Linked DNA regions of Arabidopsis thaliana. The protein of the gene in region 4 interacts with the protein of the main gene of each other region in a pairwise test. Each region holds a gene or a part of one and is shown on either strand. Other genes may lie near its edges. The genes, in order: RCAR3, PYL10, AT3G22490 and HAI1.

Region 1 (5,361 bases), 2.3 Mb from region 4:
TGCTCAGAGAGTCATCAGTCTTACATGCCAATGATGTCAGGCACTGAGAGTCGGGTTGCAAATGGAAGGCAAACTCAACACCTTCCTTGACCACACTCAAAATCTCCGATATACATTCCTGAGAGCCCACCTGCAAGCTCCAAGCCCAATCTTAAAAAGAAACTATGGGTATCCAATTTTTTTTTTTTGTGTACTTTAATCTTGAGGTAGTAGTATTTTCGAGAATACTTTAGCACGTTACAAAGTTAGCAACGAATTTTCTTTTTCTAGATATGACTTATAAGAGCCAAACCTTTTTATGTTATAGAAATCTTTGTCACTTTGAGATACTTTTATTCAGGATTTAATAAAGAGTGTTGGATAAAGCACGTGGGACCTTTTGCTCTCTCGAGATTGGCTCTTCGAGTCAGGAAAAGTTAAGACTGTGAAGCAAACCCTATATATGATACTGTATACAATATATTTTTTGGATAAAGGATTGTGTAAATTAAATGATCAAACTATATACTTACTATTCTGGCCTTAGTGGTTATAAGATACTAATATTATACTGTAAATGATCAAAACAAGATACTATTGTCAGAATGCGAAAAAATAAAGCGAAGTCCAACTTAATAGTTTACGAACTTTTACTTCATATTATGAGTCGAATGAGAGTGAATACTGGAATTGGTGATGATGCAGAAAACCGGATTAGACGAAACAAAGAGAACATAATACAAATCATTGGTATGGAACTGACAAAACGTACGAAACAATCGATGTTAAATGGTTAGAATAAAATTTGGATGATAACCATAATAACTGCAGTGCATGTATAATCATTAAATTTTAGCTATTTTTAATACTTGGAATAATAGATGTTTACTATTTTTATCATATACCTAAAGAAGTTCTTGTAATTTGTACTTAGTACCTGATTTGTCGTTCTAATCCTAAAAAAAGATTTGGTCCTTTGTAGTTTGCTTCAAAGGCCCCGAATCTGCATTGATCATGGTCTGGCTCGGGGGTGTTAAGCACACTTTTAACTAGTGATTATATGTCTAATTGGGACATCAATATACCTCCATGCACCTAGTAATGTGACCATCCGTATAATATGTGTACTATCTCTTCTTCAGCTAAAGGTTAACGAGCATAATCTGGTTAAGCCCTATGTTTGGTTTGCATTATAACAATCTCTCTGAAATTTTGTAGTATTTTCATCAATTTAAATTAGTATATTTTCGACAATTTGAATTGTTCTTTGAGTCTGATCACAGTCAAGTACACGAACTATATGCTGATCTGATCGAATTCATTCTACTATATACACACACATACACAAACATTTTACAGTACACCACTAATACTATAATCCCAATAACAAGAAAACCTAAAATATAAGTACACATTAACAAAAGAAAACAGTTTGCAAGTTATTAAGTGGTTTTTGGATTTGGTTTATAGTTTTTAGATTTTTGCATTAATTATATATATATATATATATATATATATATATATATATATATATATATATATTTGAAACTAAATATGAAAAAGTTATAGCGTTAAAAAGTGAAAAACCAATGAAACATAGATTTTAGATTTCCTTTAAAAATCTAGATTCCTTATTTTTATAAGGAAAACCATTTCTCCCAATCTTAATTGGCTATAAAGTAGATTTTTGGAAAAAACTTAAGCCATAAACAATTTCAAAAAATCTATAACCATTTCAAAATCTTTAATCCTTTTTTTTTTTTGTCAAAACAAGTCTTTTATCCAAATGAAAAAGCACCCAAGAAAAAAAAAAAAAAAACTATCCAATAATTGAGTCAGCTCTCATAGGCTTAAACAATACTTTAAGGATCAACATTAAATAATTACCACACTTGAGGGGTAAAACTAAAAACGGTAAATAAAACACAGAAAAACGACAACGAGGGGCAAAATCGAAAATAAAGAGAAAATAGTGGGATAATAGAAGAAAGCATCCAATGAGAGTAGTGAAATCAGAGAAAGACCTTTACTCCTTTAGTCCAATACCATCCAATCAATCTTTTTCTTTTTTTTTATAAAAATCTCTCACTGAGTCTTTTTATTTAAATATTATAAAAAGGAGAGAGAAAAAAAGTTTGTTGGAGGATTCGTCTCTCTCTCTCTCTCTTTCTCTTTCTCTCATCTTCTTCTTATCTCCCTCCAAAGACGGCGACTGTATAATCTATCATTTCTTCACAGTAACGCTTTCATCGGAAGATCTCGCCGGAAAAAAACTTCTCTCTGAGATCAGATCTCTTACGATTCTCAGCTCAATCTTATCTTTTCCTTTGTTGTGCTGCTTTTCACTCTCTTCTGCGCGACGAATTTGGCCTTGTTTTTTGTTTGTTTGTCGTATCCGACGCGGAGGTATTGAGAAACCGTGGCTTAAGACGGAGGAAGAAGATGGAAGCTAACGGGATTGAGAACTTGACGAATCCGAATCAGGAAAGAGAGTTTATAAGGAGACATCATAAGCATGAGCTTGTGGATAATCAGTGTAGCTCTACGCTTGTTAAACATATCAACGCTCCTGTTCATATTGTAAGCTTCTCCCTTCTTCTTCTTCCTTCATGCGCTCTGATTTTCTCTGTTTAAGTTAATCGGTTCTTCTTATTGTTGATTCAATCCAGAATTTGAAATCTCTCTCTATTTTCATCGATTGTTGATCTTACTGATGAAGAATCGATTGGTTTCTAATTATTGAAAGCTTACATAGCATTTGTGTAATCCCAATCTGAGTTTGTTTGATCTGGTTTTGCTTTATTGGAAAAAAAAGCTCCCAAAAACGCTTATGGATTAGTTTGAATCTCTCTGGTGAATAGGTGTGGTCACTTGTGAGAAGATTTGATCAGCCACAGAAGTATAAGCCGTTTATCAGTAGATGTGTGGTGAAAGGAAACATGGAGATTGGTACAGTAAGAGAAGTTGATGTGAAATCTGGACTACCAGCAACTAGAAGCACTGAGAGATTGGAGTTACTTGATGACAATGAGCATATTCTCAGTATCAGAATCGTTGGTGGTGATCATAGACTTAAGGTAATCAATGAATCAAAAGGTTCGTTTTCTGTTTACAGTGAATCAAAGACTTATATGTTCTATATTGTTTTTGGATTTAGAACTATTCTTCAATCATCTCTCTTCACCCCGAGACTATAGAAGGAAGAATAGGAACACTTGTGATTGAGTCATTTGTGGTTGATGTACCAGAAGGAAACACAAAGGATGAGACTTGTTACTTTGTTGAAGCTTTAATCAAATGCAATCTTAAATCTTTAGCTGATATCTCTGAACGTCTTGCGGTTCAAGACACGACAGAATCGAGAGTCTAAAGATCAAAGGAGTAAGAAACTATTGAATCAGAGAGATTTTGGTTGCCATGGATGAAGCTCTCAAAGGGAAAAAGAGAGAGTGGGTGAGTTTCTTTGAGGATGGACAAGGCAAAAAAAGTATCATCATTTATCCAGTTACATAATAAGTTTCTCATTTGCTATTTTTGGGGTCATTTCACTTTCAAACCCTCTTTTTAATTTCATGTGTCTAATTTAATGAATGTGTTTTTGGTTTCTTCTCTATAGAACCAAAATATGATTTTGGAGTTTAGCTTTAGCAACTTGCAGGAATCTTTTTACAATTTGCAGAGAAGACATGTTAAAAGTGTGTGTGATCATGGGGTTCCACTCTCTTCTTCCTTTTTTAACACTTTTAGTTGCACCCATAAAGGCCACACACCGTCTTTCTTATATTTATTTTTTCTACTTTTAAAGATGAACCAATAGGGTTTGTGAGATGTGAAAAATCTCCACAAAGGACCATTAAGGAAAGAGATCTTTGTTGTTGTTTATAGATTTTGTCTTGACTTGTGATTGGGGAAACACACTTTAGCTCCATTAGCTGTAAAAAGTTTTGTATACTATTTTTACAATGCCAAAGTGTTTCTGTTTCTTTTTTCCTAAATTACAGTAGTGGATAAATATTCGAATCGGTCACATTGACAGGTGGTATCATTAGAATTGCTTCTATATGTTTTCTTTCAATTTTGTTCCAAACAATACATGTAATTTCATCAGAGGACCTTGTAAGCTGCAATAAGATTCATTGGCTTTCAAAATCACATCAGAGAATAAAGACAACAATTATTACTTTCTTTTCAATGTTGTTTTACATTTTTCTTCATAGAATTGAACAGAATGTCAAAAAGGGCAAAAGGTTCAAGGTCGAAGCGAAAACTAATGAGCTAATGAAATAAAAACTACAATAATTTTGTAACATGAGATCAATAATTTCATATGTTTTTCTTTTGGTTGTTGTTGTAGAAGCTATGGGAGATTTACTCTGTACAAAGCTTTGAATCTCCCTTTTTCACCCAAAGAAGTGTGTTTATGGTAATGAATGATGTGATTAGGCCAATACCAAGTCTCCTTCTTCTTGTTGTTGCTCTTCAAATTTCTCGCCTTCCTGCTTTGGAAGGAGAATACGCTTTATGTCCTCTGCGGTTAGCGTTTCATACTCTAGAAGTGCGTTTGCTAACGTGTGTAGCTGCTTCTCATGCTGGGGAAACACACACACACACACACACACACACACACACAAAATCGAAGTGAGATTAAACAATTTTGATCCAGTAAAAAATGCGACTATCTGTAAACTTGGCACAAACCCGTTTCAAGAGAGATTTCACTCTCTCATATGCTTCTCTAAGAAGCTTCACAACCTATACATGTATCAACACCACCAGATGAATGATTAGATTTAGGACCAATGGGATTTGAATGAGGGAACTAAAAAAAGTGAATAGAGAGTCTCTACCTCGGCATCAATGCGTGATTGCATATCAGAGCTTGGTCTTTCTTTTATATGAACTGGTCCTATTGCCTCACTCATCCCACAACTCGATACCTTCCATTAAAAAGAAAAGCATTACTACAACTACAACAAGAGGTAAGATCCATCTTCTCGCATTAACTTGTAAGTTCACCTTAAGGATCTCAGAGACTAAGTCCCTCAAACCTCATTCCAGAAAACTAAAAGAACCAAAGGCTAACTCTTTTGATAAACCAGAAAAAAAGAAGCAATTAAGCACATGTACATGAGGTTACCATGTATTGTGCAAGTTCAGTGGCCTGTGACAGATCGCTACTCGCTCCAGTGGTAATATGGTCCAAGCCAAAGATGAGCTCCTCTGCAACTCTTCCTCCCATACATACATCGAGACGAGCTAATAACTGCCTCTTGCTCACTGATGTTTCATCGTTTGAAGGTAACTGTGTAACCATTCCCAATGCAGATCCACGTGGCATTATAGTCGCTTTGTGGATCGGGTGCGCACCTTTCGTATTTAAAG
Region 2 (4,352 bases), on a different chromosome or scaffold from region 4:
ATTTGCTAGAGTCTTCTTCAAGACTCTTTTGCTCTCCGAGCAGCGCATAGAGCCATTCAACATCACCTCTCCAGAGAAAAAGCCTCTGACGCTGCTGATGTTTGATCTTTCTCAACATCTCTGGAACTTTGAGGACGTACAGATCATAACAGAATTCCAGATGAGAGCATCTTGGGTTTACCTTAAACTAAACCGTAAATTTAACTAATATCAATTGTTATTAATCTTTTATATATATATATATATATATATATATTAGTATATGAAAACATGAAATAAATTCTTATATCATATTATTTAATTTTTATACTTTAATCAAATCTAAAAGTTCATTAAAATTCTATTAATTTTATGTTTATACATAAGTTTATACGATTTATATAATTTAATTTAAATAAGTTATTTATGTGAGTTTGATATACTTTGTACCTAATTAAATTGAAATTATTTAATTAATAAGTTCAAACATGTCAAAAAATTTAGAAAGAATTAATGCATGATTATAAATTCTTAAATACATTAAATTAAATAAGAAATGTAATTCATATGTTGATGTGATAAGTGTCACTCTATCTAATGCTGATATGTCGAAAAAATGGAGAGAGTTGAAAAAACTTTCATAAATATGATTTTGCATGTGTCATGATATGTTATTTATATTTTCATGTGGAAATGTTAAAAATAAAAAAGCATTTCATATAAACACTTACAAATTTGAATTTATATTTCTCGTTTGACAGCTATTCGAAATCATTTCGTTACAAACTTCCAATAATATACAAACATTCAGAAAATGGAAATAGAAGAAGAAAAAACATAGACATTGCTATAAAAGGGAAGAGTTATTTCTCTTCTTTGGTCTTTTTCCTTCTTTTCCGAATGAAAAGATTCTCAAGTCACATCTCATATCTTCTTCTCCATAGATTCTGCTTGTAGACGCTCGGTAACATCTGCTAAAGAATTGAGATTGCATTGAATCAAAGCCTCCACGAAGAAGCATGTCTCCTCCTTTGTGTTACCTTCCGGCACATCCACCACGAACGATTCTATAGCCAATGTCCCTGTTTTTCCGTCTATCGTCTCCGAATGTAACGAAATGGTTGAAGAATAATTCTGATTGGACAAATAACAAATTAAGCTCTAAAAAAAACAATAATCTTGTCGGAATGAATGGTACATTTAAGGAAATTTCAATTTACCTTGAGTCTATGATCACCACCAACTATTCTGATGCCGAGAATATGCTCATTGTCGTCAAGAATCTCTAATACCTCAGTGCTTTTAGTAGCTGGTAATCCAGATTTCAAATCCACTTCTCTTACGCTACCAACCTCCAGCTTCTTACCTTGTACCACACACCTACTGATAAATGGTTTGTATTTTTGTGGTTCATCGAATCTCCTCACAATTGACCACACCTTTTCCAAACAAAACAAATCATTTAACATCTCAAAAATCGTTATCTTTAACACTTGAAAAACAGAGCAAAGCAAAGCTTACGAGATGCAGAGGAGCTTTGATGTGCTTAACGAGCGTAGAGCTACATTGAGACTCTACAAGCTCGTGTCTATGGTGTTTCTTGATGTACTCGCTCTCCACCTTCTTTGTTTCGTCACCGTTCATCGTTATCTTAAATAGCAGCAATTTAAATAATTTTGATTAGACAAAAATTATTCGTGCCTTTAGTTTTTTTTTTTTTTCACTCAATAGTAGAACCACTGTACCAGTGTGCAGCTATTTAAAGGATGCTCTTTTATATTGACGAATATAGCCTTCCAAGTTTCTATGAGTGAATTCATTTTTAACTTATATCTGTATTCCCATTATCTTGGATTATGATCCGACATGTCAAGTACAGATGGACGGATTGTAAACATTAATGTGGAGGATTGTAACATTATTTTTTCCTATTTCTTTGAAAAATATCTCTCTATCAAATGCTTTAAGTTTAACACATAACCACAAAATCTTTAGAATGTTTCAGAATTGCTCATATACAGTTTGACACCGAAACATTTTTTCTTATGGGAATTGTTATCCGTTATGCAATTTACCTTGTGTGGCTTTGAACATATCTGAAGTATAGATAAGAGTCAATCCATATTCGCATCAATTGGGCCGTCAAAAACGCTTAAAAGTGTTTTAAGAAAACCATTACGAGATCTTTTATCAGCAGCAAACTACAATTCGTCTGACATGGCACTTGACGAAAGCACGATTCATAAACCGGCGCGAAAGGAAAATCAATTCCCAATTGAATTGACTCATCACCTTCGCGGTATAACCGTAGTAAACCGATGGTTATAGGGTAAAACGGTCACAACAGTTGGAATTATCCCAAGTTTTCTGCTCAAGTCTCGTTGAAATGAACAAAATGAATGAAATTGAATTCTTTTGAGGATAATGGTGACACAAACGAGTTTGTCTATACAGAGAGGCAGAAGAGATCAGACTTGGATCACTTAGCTTTTCTCTCTACCTATAAATCTATTGTTTTTGGAGCAAAAAGAGACAATCTTGCTTTGGCCTTTTCTTCTTGGTGTTGTAGCCTGTGAAGTAAACTTAGAGGATCTATACCTTTCTATTCTAATTCATGAATTTCCTGCAGTTAGGGGCTTTACATAAGCATGGCACCTTGAGTTCCTCTGCCTCGTCTGGATCAAATAAGTAATCATACCTGCCAAAACACCACACAACATTTCTTAAACTATGACAATCAATCAGCTTTAGATTGAAGAATGGTATATATAGAAATGCGTTGTGTACGTTAACTCCTCTCCCACAGCTACATTGGCCTTGGCTATCAGGACAATCCTGCTTTCCTCATCTCCTACACTCATAATCCTCGCATAGCAGTTTGGTGTACACTACACACCACGTATTTTGATTTAGGCTTTAACAGTCTGTCAAATTTCTTGTACGTAAAAAGTCCATGCCAAGCAGCTTACCGAATGATTGATGAGCCGAGCTATATTCCCTTTATCTGTAGCATCAACCACTACTTCTTCACTGATCTTGAAAAGCTGCAACATAAATCCTTCTTTTGGTTAAGAGAGATAGAGAGAGAAGAGACAATTTGTGAAGATAAAATGGAAACTTTTTCAACTCACATAGCAATCCTTTCCTACTCTGCGATAACGTGCTTCTCTCAAGTCTGCAATGCTACCTCTCACCTGTTCCCCTCTGTATTCAAGAACCTGAAATACAATAGCACCTCTCGACAATAAACACTCCCCTCATCCCAAATAGACCAAACACAATATCACAAATGGGTCTGCTGACATACCATTTCTCCTTCTTGGATATTTCTTCTTGCAAAAAGACCCCATCCATGAATTCCAGATCGCCCAAAGCAGACCCGATCCATTTCTGTCCTCTGTTACATTAAACATACACATGTTACAGCCGATAATATCAAAAAATAAAACCTGAACATTCCAATCTCGTTCAAACATCAGAGAATTCTTGCCTGCAAGTGGTGAAGTCGTTCCCTGAAAGAAGAAAACGATTTGGGTTCTTCTGGCACATGCTACACATAATACAACCCAGAAATGTCAGATCCAAAAAATAATAGTAAGAAACGGAGTAGAAGAACTGCATGGAGACTTTCTTACTCTGAATGTGTTTAAAGTTTGGATTGCTGCTGATGCATGATGGCGTGGTCCCCTTGTGTGGTGAGGAATGGCTTCTTCTTCAATCCTCTACAAAACAAAGATCAGCCTACTGGACAAAGGAGATGTGCAACGAAACATACAGACTTTTTGTGGATAAGACCCAATATTACCTTCTTGCTATTGATCTTTCTTTTAAATACTCGACAACGAGCAGCAGAAAATGGATCACATGTAATGGTATTCTCTGCAGGTGCTTCATCGTCTTCTCTGATTAATGAAATAAGCCTGGAACCACCTTTCTTCTTGTTTTGGACAAGACTCTTTGCAGAGAAGGCTCCTGAAGGAGTTTGTATAATTAACACGTTATCTGGGTTGGGAGCCCTACACACCAAAAACAATAGATAAAACTTATAAATCATAAACCAACATCGTAACACCAAAAATTCTTTAAGCAGAGTTCTGAGAAATTTCACCTGTGATAAGCACAATAGGACACCATCTTTGTTATCTGCTGACCATTTTTCTCCAAGCAGTGCAACTACATACAAAATGCATGGAAATATGCCTATTTAAATGGAGTAAGATAATAAATTGCAAAGGAAAAAAAAAACTCAAGTTCCTTTAAGTAAAGATTAAAAACACATTATCTATCGGAAACCAGTTTCACTTTATACGACTATATAAAAAAGATCGTTCCAGTTAGTTCAAAAGCATGTATAGAAAAAGTCAGTGTCGTCT
Region 3 (4,515 bases), on a different chromosome or scaffold from region 4:
TGACAAGATAGTGATGGAATGATTGTAGGATTGATCTTGATCTGGTAAAAGCCTTATGCTTCACCATGTTTTGTATTTTATAACTTCTGAGAGAATAATGAATTAAGTATGAATCATTCTTGAGGTAAGATAGTTCTCTGCATTGGTTAAGTGATTAGTATTCTTTCCAATGTGCTTGGAATTGTTTTGTAACAATTGTGTTTTTCGGTTCGTAGTTGTGTCAGATGCAAATGTTTCTCTGAGTGTTGTTGTTTGAGTTTCTTTATTGATTTACTCTCATTTTTTGCTTCAACTATGCAATTCGTGATTTCTTGGATCTAATTTCTGTAGTAGGATCGAAGTAATGGCCAGCAAATCTGGAAGCGGTGGCCTAAGAGAACCGCCGAATGAGCAAGCTGTTTTGAACATGTATGAAGGCAAGAGATCAGAGCTAAGCCAAATCTACTCCAACATAACCGACCTCGAGATGCAAGTGAGCGAACATTCTCTGGTCATTAACGCCATTCAGCCTCTCGACCAATCGAGGAAATGCTTCCGCATGATAGGAGGCGTTCTTGTCGAAAGAACCATCAAAGAGGTACTACCAGCTGTCCAACGTAACAAGGACGGACTTGAAGAGGTTGTGAGGAAGCTATACGAGACATTGGAGAAAAAGAAGAAAGATCTTACAGAGTTTGAAGCTAAGTATAAGATCAGGATAACGAAACAAGAAGATAACAAGGAAGGAGGTAACAAGAAGGAAGGTAATGCTCAAGGTGTTCTTGTTGGAGCTGCCAGTTCAAGCCAGTAAAACTCTATATTTGGCAGTTTGTTTTACTGTTGTATCTCTTTTTTGGATCTTATGGTTAAAAGCCGTAAACTTTGCTGGAAAAAATCAACATGTTTTGAATGTCACAAAACTAGTAGACTGGAGAAATGCCATATTTATGTAGATCCGTTGTGCTAGAGAAAGATTTCAACTTTATAACCGGAAAGTGACCATTTTTTTACATTATGACTGAACTTTTTTGAACAACAGAACCAAAACATCTCCCTCTCGCAGGATTTTTCATATATCAGCTCTCTCGTTAAGCCTAGCGGCGGCAGTAATAGAAGCCGCTACACCACCAGGGTGAGTAGACAAATTAGGATTGTTCCTCAGCTCAGCGCTCACCACTCCCTCTGCGTCCTGCCTGGTCACAGCTTTATCTGCGGCTAACTTCCCGGTCGCACCCTAATAAGCCATCCGGTTCAAACACATTTAGACAATCTTAAAACTAAAACATTAAGACATTGAAGATGTTTTTAAAATTGGGGTTTAACCGCCAAAACATCAATGAGCTTGATTTTATCCTCATCACGGTCTATGGTAGCGTTGTGATTTGCTGCTGATTGAGCAGAAGCGGCGATTCCACCAGGAGCAATCACATTAGTGCCACAAGCTCTAACCTCTGCCGCTTGAATCGCTGCTGCGTCGCTTTGATCCACCGGTTTGTTTCCAGCGGTTTGCACAGTCGCTTCCAATGCTTCTCCAATCGTTATTGCACTTTGTAAACTCAAACCCACAACTTCTGCTTCCATAGCTGCCGCAGTCGCCACTGGCCTAGGCTCGACGTATTGTCCAACGACCTATGACAAATATATCTTCACCATTATAAAACATGATCGTAAGAAAAAAGATGTAATTCTGGATTTGAGTTATGACCTGTCCACCGACGAATTCTGTTGTGACACGTGCACCAGGGACGTCAGTTTGCGCCACTGTGACGCCTCGTTCAGCGGCGAGATCAGTTGTGTCACCTGGATGGACAAAGCCACCGCGTTTATTAGCAGTGGCTGCAGACTGCATGACTGCCGCTGCACCGCCTTTCTGAGTGTGGCCAAACACACGTGTCTCCGCTGCTTGCATCATGTTTGCATCCTCCGGCGCTATAGGCTTATCAGCGAGTTCACCGGAGACTTCAAAAACGTCACCGTAAGTGACTGGCTCTTGTGGCCGCTTTGGTTGTTCTTCTTGACTCATCTCTCTGTTTTGTTATGTTATGTTCCGTTTTGTGTTACATACAAAAGTGACAACAACTCCTATAAAGATAAGAGAGGTGCATGAGTGTGAGAGCAACATTATGAGATTTTGACACTTGTCATTTTGTCAATGACGTGACTAAGAGGCAGGTGTCAGTTTCCAAGTTTATAGCAACCTTAGCAAGATGATGATTCAGACCGACTGAGATAGAGTTTTGTCATTTAGGTTTAAATACTTTTTTCCATGTTTCGTACAACATTGGCCACGTTTCAATATTGAGACAACATAACAACAATGAGCAAAGCTGTTCTGAACATTTCTGAAGCCATGAGATGAGAGCTAATACATACCTACTCCAACATGGCAACATATATAATATAACTGAACTCGAGGTGCAAGTGAGCGAATACTCTCTGGTCATCAACGCCATTAAACCTTTCAACCAATCGAGGAAATGCTCCTGCATGAGAGGAGGCTAGGCGTTGGTCGAGAGAACCGTCAGAGACGTACTCCCACATGTGCAACGCATAAAGGAAGGGATCGAAGAGTTTGTGAAGAAGCTATATATCCGAGACATTGGACAAGAAGAAGAAAGATCGTACAGAATCTGAAGCTAAGTATAACCATCAGGATAAGGAAGCAGGATGATAACAAGGAAGAGGGTAATAAGAAGGAAGGTAATGCTCAAGGTGTTCCAGTAAAAACGCTCTTCTCTTTTGGATTTTTGTTTTACTGTTGTATCTGTATTTGTGGTTTTTTTTGGTTAAAACTCAGATATTTTTAATTGTCACAAACCCCATTGGACTGGAGGAATATCCCATTTATATAGATCAGTAGTGGTAAGTGTTAACTCTCTTAGGAATTATTAGTTCAAAGCAAATCAGCTAAAGAATGGATTTTAACTTCAAACTAAAAAGTCCCCATTATTCATTCCAACATCATCCTTGGGAAGTTTTTAAGCAGTAAGATACAAAAAAGAACAAAAAAGCTAGTCGATTAAATGTCACAAGCTTGTGAACACCATCCTCTCCCCGCCGGATTTTCTAACATATCGGCTAAAGGACCAAAAGCTGTAGACGATTTTACATAACAAGTTTCCTAAGTTGTGAAAGAGAGACGAACAAACAAACAAACAAACAAAAAAAAGAAAGATCATCGATCCTCTCGCCGGATTTGTCTTGTCATATATCAACTCTCTCGTTAAGCCTAGCAGCGACGGTAAGAGAAGCCGCTACACCACCAGGGTGAGTACACAATTTAGGGTTATTCCTCATCTCTGCGCTCACCACTCCCTCGGCATCTTCCCTCGTCACAGCTCTGTCTGCCGATAACTTCCCTGCTGCACCCTATATAATTCATTCGGTTCGAAAACATTTAGCCACTACTTTAAAAGGAAAACATCAAAAACATTGATGAAAATGTTTTGAAAATTAGGGTTTAACCGTCAAAACATCACGAAGCTTGATTTTCCTCTCGTCACGATCTACGGTAGCGTTGTGATCCGCTGCAGATTGAGCTGAAGCGGCGACTCCAGCTAGAGCAATGACGTTGGTACCGGAAGCTCTCATCTCTGCCGCTTGAATCGCTGCGGCGTCGCTTTGATCCACAGGTTTGTTTCCAGCTGTCTTCACAGTTGCTTCCAGTGCTTCTCCAATCGTTATTGTACTTTGCAAAGCTTCTTCGTCCGTACGCGCAGCAGCGACTACACGCCTCGGTTCAACGTGTTGTCCAACGACCTAAAGCTTCACCATTACTCCAAAACAAAAAACGGATATATGAAAAGAAGTACTAGTACTTTTCGAAACAACTTGTGACCTGTCCACCGACGAATTCGGTTGTGACAGTTGCAGCAGGGACCGTTTGCTCCACTGTGGCGCCTCGTTCAGCGACAAGCTCAGTTTTGTCATCTGGATGGACAAAGCCACCGCGTATATTGGTGGTGGCTGCAGATTGCATGACCGCAGCTGGACCGCCTTTCTGAGTATGGCCGAACACATGTGTCTCCGCGGATTGCATCATCTTTGCATCCTCAGGTGCTATGGGCTTATCAGCGAGTTCACCGGAGACTTCAAAAACGTCCCCGTATTTGACTGGCTCTCTTGGCCTCCTTGGTTGCTCTTGGCTCATCTTTGTTTTGTTACGTTAATGTTCTGTTACAAACTACGATAACTCCTACCTGAATTGAGTGTCTATTATATAAAGAGAGGTGCATGAGTATGGGATCAACGTTCTGAGATTTTGACACTTACTCGTAGATGAGGTGACTAGGACACTCGTGTCAGTTTGCGAGTTTGTAGCTAAAAAGATAAAGCTTAGATTGAGATAGGGATTTTACTTTTCTTTTTGTAAATTTGTCATTTAGTTTTAAGAGTGAATGAAAAAGGACATGTTTCCAACGTTACCACATATGAGTCGTATAACATTGGACACGTTTGTTTCAATATTTGTTTTTGTTCTTGTAGACACGTTTCAATTTTAAGACAAACATAACAGAAAAGTCAAATGTTGGAAAC
Region 4 (6,136 bases):
GTTCATTATCAAGAAAAGCATTTTGTATTAATGTATATAACTAATCATGTGTGATGTGGAAATTCCAACGACAAATTGGTAAGATTTCAATTCAAAGTTACAAAACAAAGACGAGATAATTAATCAAACTAGCTAGGACAATATATTGTCTCCTTACCGAAAGCTCTCCAACCACCTACTAAAGTAACTAACCATGTTTCAGTTATAATTTTATTTTTTCGTATTCCTATCAAGTATCAAATGATATAGTTAACCAACATTTATATATATATATTGAAATCACTAAACAAACAACAAAAGTAACATAGATTTTAATGGAACTAATTTTCACCTTATATTTTTACATAAGATTTGAAAGTGATGGTTAGTGACTTGTTGGTCGATGACGAATTTGTTTTCAGGTTAAATTTTAATAATAATAATATTTGAAAGAAAGATGAAGCTTTCACGTGGCACAATGTATTTGCCTACTGTCAACTTCAAAAACCTGGCAACTGCTATGCAGCTTCAGAGGACACGTGTCATGTGTTACACACGCGCTTCGTTTTTTTTCAACCTTTTGATTTTGTTTTGTTCTGTGATGTGGGACTCACATAATTCAAATCATCATCCTATTGCTTGCCGCCACGTCCCAGAGAATTTTCCGCGAAAAGCTGAGCTTCTCTCTTTCTTTCCTTAATTTTAGTTAGGTTATGAATTATTTTTGTATTAATACTAACTAACTAAAATATCATCATCACATTACATAAACATAAGATTCATCGGCGTAACGTAAGTAACAGTTAAAGCCCAAATTACAACTCTCGATCCTACTTAATGCATAGTAAACGAATGTTGACACAGAAAAAATCTTGGTCAAGACATAAAAGTAGAGAATGTAAACACGTGTCGAACATCGAGGAAGAAAACAGGTCAGAGAGGGGTCAACGTTGTTAAATGTTAGTAATAGAGAAGTGGTCCCCAGTTTCCACCAAAACCCATCTACGTACTTGTATCTCATTGGATGTCATTCCTGATTGATTTAGAATTGAAAACGTTATATTTTGTTTATTTCTAATTGTTGATTGAATATCTTATAATTTTTGCCCACAAAAGAAAATTATAAGTGTATAATATATAGTTCACTCGAATTTAACATGTCCATTGTCCAATGTAGAACGTATGATCATTTCTGTTTTTCAGTTGCTTTTATTTTAAATTCCCAAAAACCCAATATTGTGTCAAACATTGGAGAATGATGTTCACTTTTATTGTATTCACAAAATGCTACTTATCAACTAAGAAAATTGTAATGTCAAACATAAGATGGTGATATTTTAAAAATAGATGTAAAATTAGTTTAGAACTGTCTGATAAGTCATAAGATTGCACGATTATAAATCATTGAATATTCCGGACACTTGTCAAGATTAAAACCATGAATAAGTTTTCAAATTCATTTTCATCATCTCAATTGTAAAACTAGGTAAGATATCCTTTAAAATCTTTGAATATTAGTTCCCCGGCCCATATAAAATCTCTTAAATATATTTATTTGAAAACTCTGACTGTTTGCACTTGCAGCATAAAAAAAGGGATGAAACAAATGGAACAAATGCAGAACAAAACTAATAGACCAGACAAGTAAAACAAACGAAACAAAACAAGTGTTGAAATGATAACTCACAAATTTGAACTTACTTTTCTAGCAAATAAGAAATTGTTCTAATTAAAAAAAAAAGCATATGCAGTCTCAAATTGTTTCTAAGAAGTATTCACGCACCAAGGTTATATTTGTAGTGACATATTCTACAATTATCACATTTTTCTCTTATGTTTCGTAGTCGCAGATGGTCAATTTTTTCTATAATAATTTGTCCTTGAACACACCAAACTTTAGAAACGATGATATATACCGTATTGTCACGCTCACAATGAAACAAACGCGATGAATCGTCATCACCAGCTAAAAGCCTAAAACACCATCTTAGTTTTCACTCAGATAAAAAGATTATTTGTTTCCAACCTTTCTATTGAATTGATTAGCAGTGATGACGTAATTAGTGATAGTTTATAGTAAAACAAATGGAAGTGGTAATAAATTTACACAACAAAATATGGTAAGAATCTATAAAATAAGAGGTTAAGAGATCTCATGTTATATTAAATGATTGAAAGAAAAACAAACTATTGGTTGATTTCCATATGTAATAGTAAGTTGTGATGAAAGTGATGACGTAATTAGTTGTATTTATAGTAAAACAAATTAAAATGGTAAGGTAAATTTCCACAACAAAACTTGGTAAAAATCTTAAAAAAAAAAAAAGAGGTTTAGAGATCGCATGCGTGTCATCAAAGGTTCTTTTTCACTTTAGGTCTGAGTAGTGTTAGACTTTGATTGGTGCACGTAAGTGTTTCGTATCGCGATTTAGGAGAAGTACGTTTTACACGTGGACACAATCAACGGTCAAGATTTCGTCGTCCAGATAGAGGAGCGATACGTCACGCCATTCAACAATCTCCTCTTCTTCATTCCTTCATTTTGATTTTGAGTTTTGATCTGCCCGTTCAAAAGTCTCGGTCATCTGCCCGTAAATATAAAGATGATTATATTTATTTATATCTTCTGGTGAAAGAAGCTAATATAAAGCTTCCATGGCTAATCTTGTTTAAGCTTCTCTTCTTCTTCTCTCTCCTGTGTCTCGTTCACTAGTTTTTTTTCGGGGGAGAGTGATGGAGTGTGTTTGTTGAATAGTTTTGACGATCACATGGCTGAGATTTGTTACGAGAACGAGACTATGATGATTGAAACGACGGCGACGGTGGTGAAGAAGGCAACGACGACAACGAGGAGACGAGAACGGAGCTCGTCTCAAGCAGCGAGAAGAAGGAGAATGGAGATCCGGAGGTTTAAGTTTGTTTCCGGCGAACAAGAACCTGTCTTCGTCGACGGTGACTTACAGAGGCGGAGGAGAAGAGAATCCACCGTCGCAGCCTCCACCTCCACCGTGTTTTACGAAACGGCGAAGGAAGTTGTCGTCCTATGCGAGTCTCTTAGTTCAACGGTTGTGGCATTGCCTGATCCTGAAGCTTATCCTAAATACGGCGTCGCTTCAGTCTGTGGAAGAAGACGTGAAATGGAAGACGCCGTCGCTGTGCATCCGTTTTTTTCCCGTCATCAGACGGAATATTCATCCACCGGATTTCACTATTGCGGCGTTTACGATGGCCATGGCTGTTCCCATGTACGACGTCGTTTTATTATAAAAATTATCCTTTAATTGACCGTTACGACGTCGGTTTTTAATTTTAATAATATGATGTTTAGGTAGCGATGAAATGTAGAGAAAGACTACACGAGCTAGTCCGTGAAGAGTTTGAAGCTGATGCTGACTGGGAAAAGTCAATGGCGCGTAGCTTCACGCGCATGGACATGGAGGTTGTTGCGTTGAACGCCGATGGTGCGGCAAAATGCCGGTGCGAGCTTCAGAGGCCGGACTGCGACGCGGTGGGATCCACTGCGGTTGTGTCTGTCCTTACGCCGGAGAAAATCATCGTGGCGAATTGCGGTGACTCACGTGCCGTTCTCTGTCGTAACGGCAAAGCCATTGCTTTATCCTCCGATCATAAGGTTTTGTTCGTTTTTTGATAATCTCTCTTGTTTCGTTTATCCATCGTTAAATGTTTATCCGTTAGATCTACGGTTATGGTTTACTCACTGTAATGAAACGAGAATTTCGTTACGTGTTGCGTTCGAAACTTACCTATTAATATTGTTTAATGCATTTTTTATTTATTATTTCATTTATTGGAAATTAGAATCTTCTTTAATGTGCATGCAACACCTGGACGACGATTAAGAATGTTTAATGACTTTTTACTTTTTAGATAGAGGATCTGATAAAGTTTATGAGTTTTAAGATTCTTTAATCCTTCGTGTCACTGTTATCAATGACTATATCATTCTCTCTCTCTCTCTTGTTTAAATTTGTTGTAACAGCCAGACCGTCCGGACGAGCTAGACCGGATTCAAGCAGCGGGTGGTCGTGTTATCTACTGGGATGGCCCACGTGTCCTTGGAGTACTTGCAATGTCACGAGCCATTGGTCAGTTAATTGATTACACTTGACGAAAACACTCTTGTCCCTATCCTAATGTTTGTACAAAGTTTTTCCGTACTTTCAATAATGATGATTATTAACTCTCGTTTCGCCGCGGATTTTTTTTTTTTTTTTCAGGAGATAATTACTTGAAGCCGTATGTAATCAGCAGACCGGAGGTAACCGTGACGGACCGGGCCAACGGAGACGATTTTCTTATTCTCGCAAGTGACGGTCTTTGGGACGTTGTTTCAAACGAAACTGCATGTAGCGTCGTTCGAATGTGTTTGAGAGGAAAAGTCAATGGTCAAGTATCATCATCACCGGAAAGGGAAATGACAGGTGTCGGCGCCGGGAATGTGGTGGTTGGAGGAGGAGATTTGCCAGATAAAGCGTGTGAGGAGGCGTCGCTGTTGCTGACGAGGCTTGCGTTGGCTAGACAAAGTTCGGACAACGTAAGTGTTGTGGTGGTTGATCTACGACGAGACACGTAGTTGTATTTGTCTCTCTCGTAATGTTTGTTGTTTTTTGTCCTGAGTCATCGACTTTTGGGCTTTTTCTTTTAACCTTTTTTGCTCTTCGGTGTAAGACAACGAAGGGTTTTTAATTTAGCTTGACTATGGGTTATGTCAGTCACTGTGTTGAATCGCGGTTTAGATCTACAAAGATTTTCACCAGTAGTGAAAATGGTAAAAAGCCGTGAAATGTGAAAGACTTGAGTTCAATTTAATTTTAAATTTAATAGAATCAGTTGATCATAACAAAATCTTACCTTTTTAAATTTATTTTTTGTTATATATAGGACGATGTTTATAGGAATATTAGAAATGTTAGACTGATATCTTTAAGAATAGGAAAAGAACCAAATATTTACTAAGGAATTTGTTTTCAAGTGTATTTTGTAACTAAACAAGGCAAACAATCGGTATAGAATACTTCAAAGGTTAATTGGGAGGATTCAATATTATAACATTTTTTTCTTATTATGTAAAACGTTTTTTTTTTTTTTTTGCCAACATAATCTATAAAACATGTTTATATAACTCTTCATCAAACGGGTATGGTTCACACTTTATCATGTGACATATTAGAAGATGTCGATCATTAAGACTGAACATTGTTTAAAGTACTTAGAAATCAAAATGATGATTCAAGCTTTGATAACTTCCAACCGTTTCCAACCGCCAAACTTTGGTAACTTTTTTAGAATCGAACTCCTAGCTATCGCCTAACGATTTTTTTGAACATTCTCGTTTTTTTTTCTTTTAAATGTCTTTGCAATTGCATAAACTGGTTTTTTTTTTTTTTTTTTTTTTTTGTCGGAAACTGGTTTTCTTTTATCATCCTGTTTTCAACTTTTATTCAATTTTTTTTTTCTTTTTGAAATTGAAAAACTGGGCTCGCTTTCAAGGTCAGAGAGTTATATATGTCCATGGGCCTATTTAACACTCCTATAAGCCCAAATATAGATATATTCCATTTTTGTCGCCGGCGATTTCCTCACCGTTAAATCGACGTTCGAAATTCCGAGGAGAGGAATCATACCATGGAATCGCACCACGCGTCTCTAGGTCGCCGTACTGTAAGGATATTTCCGATATGGCCGTCTTTATCTTCATCTGAAGACAGTTTCTTACATCGGTGCTTTTTTGTTGTTATTAATTTCTGTGATCTTGTAGTTGGAAGAGATTCGTCAAAAGAGAGCAGCTCAAAGGCTAAGCAAAGCTTCTTCAGGTCCAGATCTTAGTGAAATTCCCAATCCTGCCGGTAATTTTATTCATCTCCAATTTCAATGTTTTGCCATCTCCTTTTCCACTAGCTTTGCAATTTTGATTGACTACTTCATTATTTCAGATTTCCCAGTGATCAGAAAATCTGAGAGCGGAAATCGACTTTCTGAGGTAGCATTTCTCTGCTTATCAAAAATTGTACCTGGTGATCTAATTGGATTCTTTAGAATTGCGACGGTCTTGATAATGAGAATGCCTTAATCGAATCATGTCTTCTAGGATTTATGGACAAATTTGATTTTGCATATTGTCCTGAGGATAGGCTCA

What was found.
Region 1: the proteins of HAI1 (region 4) and RCAR3 interact in binary tests that used the Arabidopsis thaliana proteins (3 or more experiments, as listed by UniProt).
Region 2: the proteins of HAI1 (region 4) and PYL10 interact in binary tests that used the Arabidopsis thaliana proteins (3 or more experiments, as listed by UniProt).
Region 3: the proteins of HAI1 (region 4) and AT3G22490 interact in binary tests that used the Arabidopsis thaliana proteins (3 or more experiments, as listed by UniProt).

The regions. Positions count from the first base shown.
Region 1 is NC_003076.8:21,558,605-21,563,965, forward strand, and holds RCAR3 (regulatory components of ABA receptor 3), read left to right. Parts: upstream 1-1,996; 5' UTR 1,997-2,421; coding exon 2,422-2,559; intron 2,560-2,840; coding exon 2,841-3,056; coding exon of another isoform or gene 3,057-3,136; coding exon 3,137-3,349; 3' UTR 3,350-4,105; downstream 4,106-5,361. Other genes in the region: FTSH11 (FTSH protease 11), read right to left, coding at 4,419-4,568, 4,678-4,731, 4,827-4,916, 5,117-5,361. UniProt on the Arabidopsis thaliana protein: Receptor for abscisic acid (ABA) required for ABA-mediated responses such as stomatal closure and germination inhibition.
Region 2 is NC_003075.7:13,898,491-13,902,842, reverse strand, and holds PYL10 (PYR1-like 10), read right to left. Parts: upstream 1,702-4,352; 5' UTR 1,624-1,701; coding exon 1,501-1,623; intron 1,419-1,500; coding exon 1,200-1,418; intron 1,114-1,199; coding exon 904-1,113; 3' UTR 843-903; downstream 1-842. Other genes in the region: SDG16 (SET domain protein 16), read right to left, coding at 2,587-2,677, 2,767-2,867, 2,949-3,023, 3,111-3,197, 3,287-3,376, 3,470-3,529, 3,615-3,701, 3,785-3,995 and 1 more. UniProt on the Arabidopsis thaliana protein: Receptor for abscisic acid (ABA) required for ABA-mediated responses such as stomatal closure and germination inhibition.
Region 3 is NC_003074.8:7,968,737-7,973,251, forward strand, and holds AT3G22490 (Seed maturation protein), read right to left. Parts: upstream 2,108-4,515; 5' UTR 2,003-2,107; coding exon 1,685-2,002; intron 1,609-1,684; coding exon 1,303-1,608; intron 1,214-1,302; coding exon 1,049-1,213; 3' UTR 945-1,048; downstream 1-944. Other genes in the region: PDF2 (prefoldin 2), read left to right, coding at 344-790; ATECP31 (Seed maturation protein), read right to left, coding at 3,184-3,348, 3,445-3,738, 3,818-4,129. UniProt on the Arabidopsis thaliana protein: LEA proteins are late embryonic proteins abundant in higher plant seed embryos. The function of those proteins is not known. Promotes germination rate. Enhances cation toxicity (e.g. lithium ion) and osmotic stress (e.g.
Region 4 is NC_003076.8:23,893,109-23,899,244, reverse strand, and holds HAI1 (PP2C protein (Clade A protein phosphatases type 2C)), read left to right. Parts: upstream 1-2,305; 5' UTR 2,306-2,747; coding exon 2,748-3,224; intron 3,225-3,307; coding exon 3,308-3,610; intron 3,611-3,979; coding exon 3,980-4,085; coding exon of another isoform or gene 4,086-4,108; exon of another isoform or gene 4,109-4,217; coding exon 4,218-4,573; 3' UTR 4,574-4,841; downstream 4,842-6,136. Other genes in the region: AT5G59210 (myosin heavy chain-like protein), read left to right, coding at 5,626-5,661, 5,759-5,846, 5,934-5,980. UniProt on the Arabidopsis thaliana protein: Acts as a negative regulator of abscisic acid (ABA) signaling for stomatal closure in leaves, and controls water loss during leaf senescence. Activated by the NAC029/NAP transcription factor during ABA signaling in senescing leaves.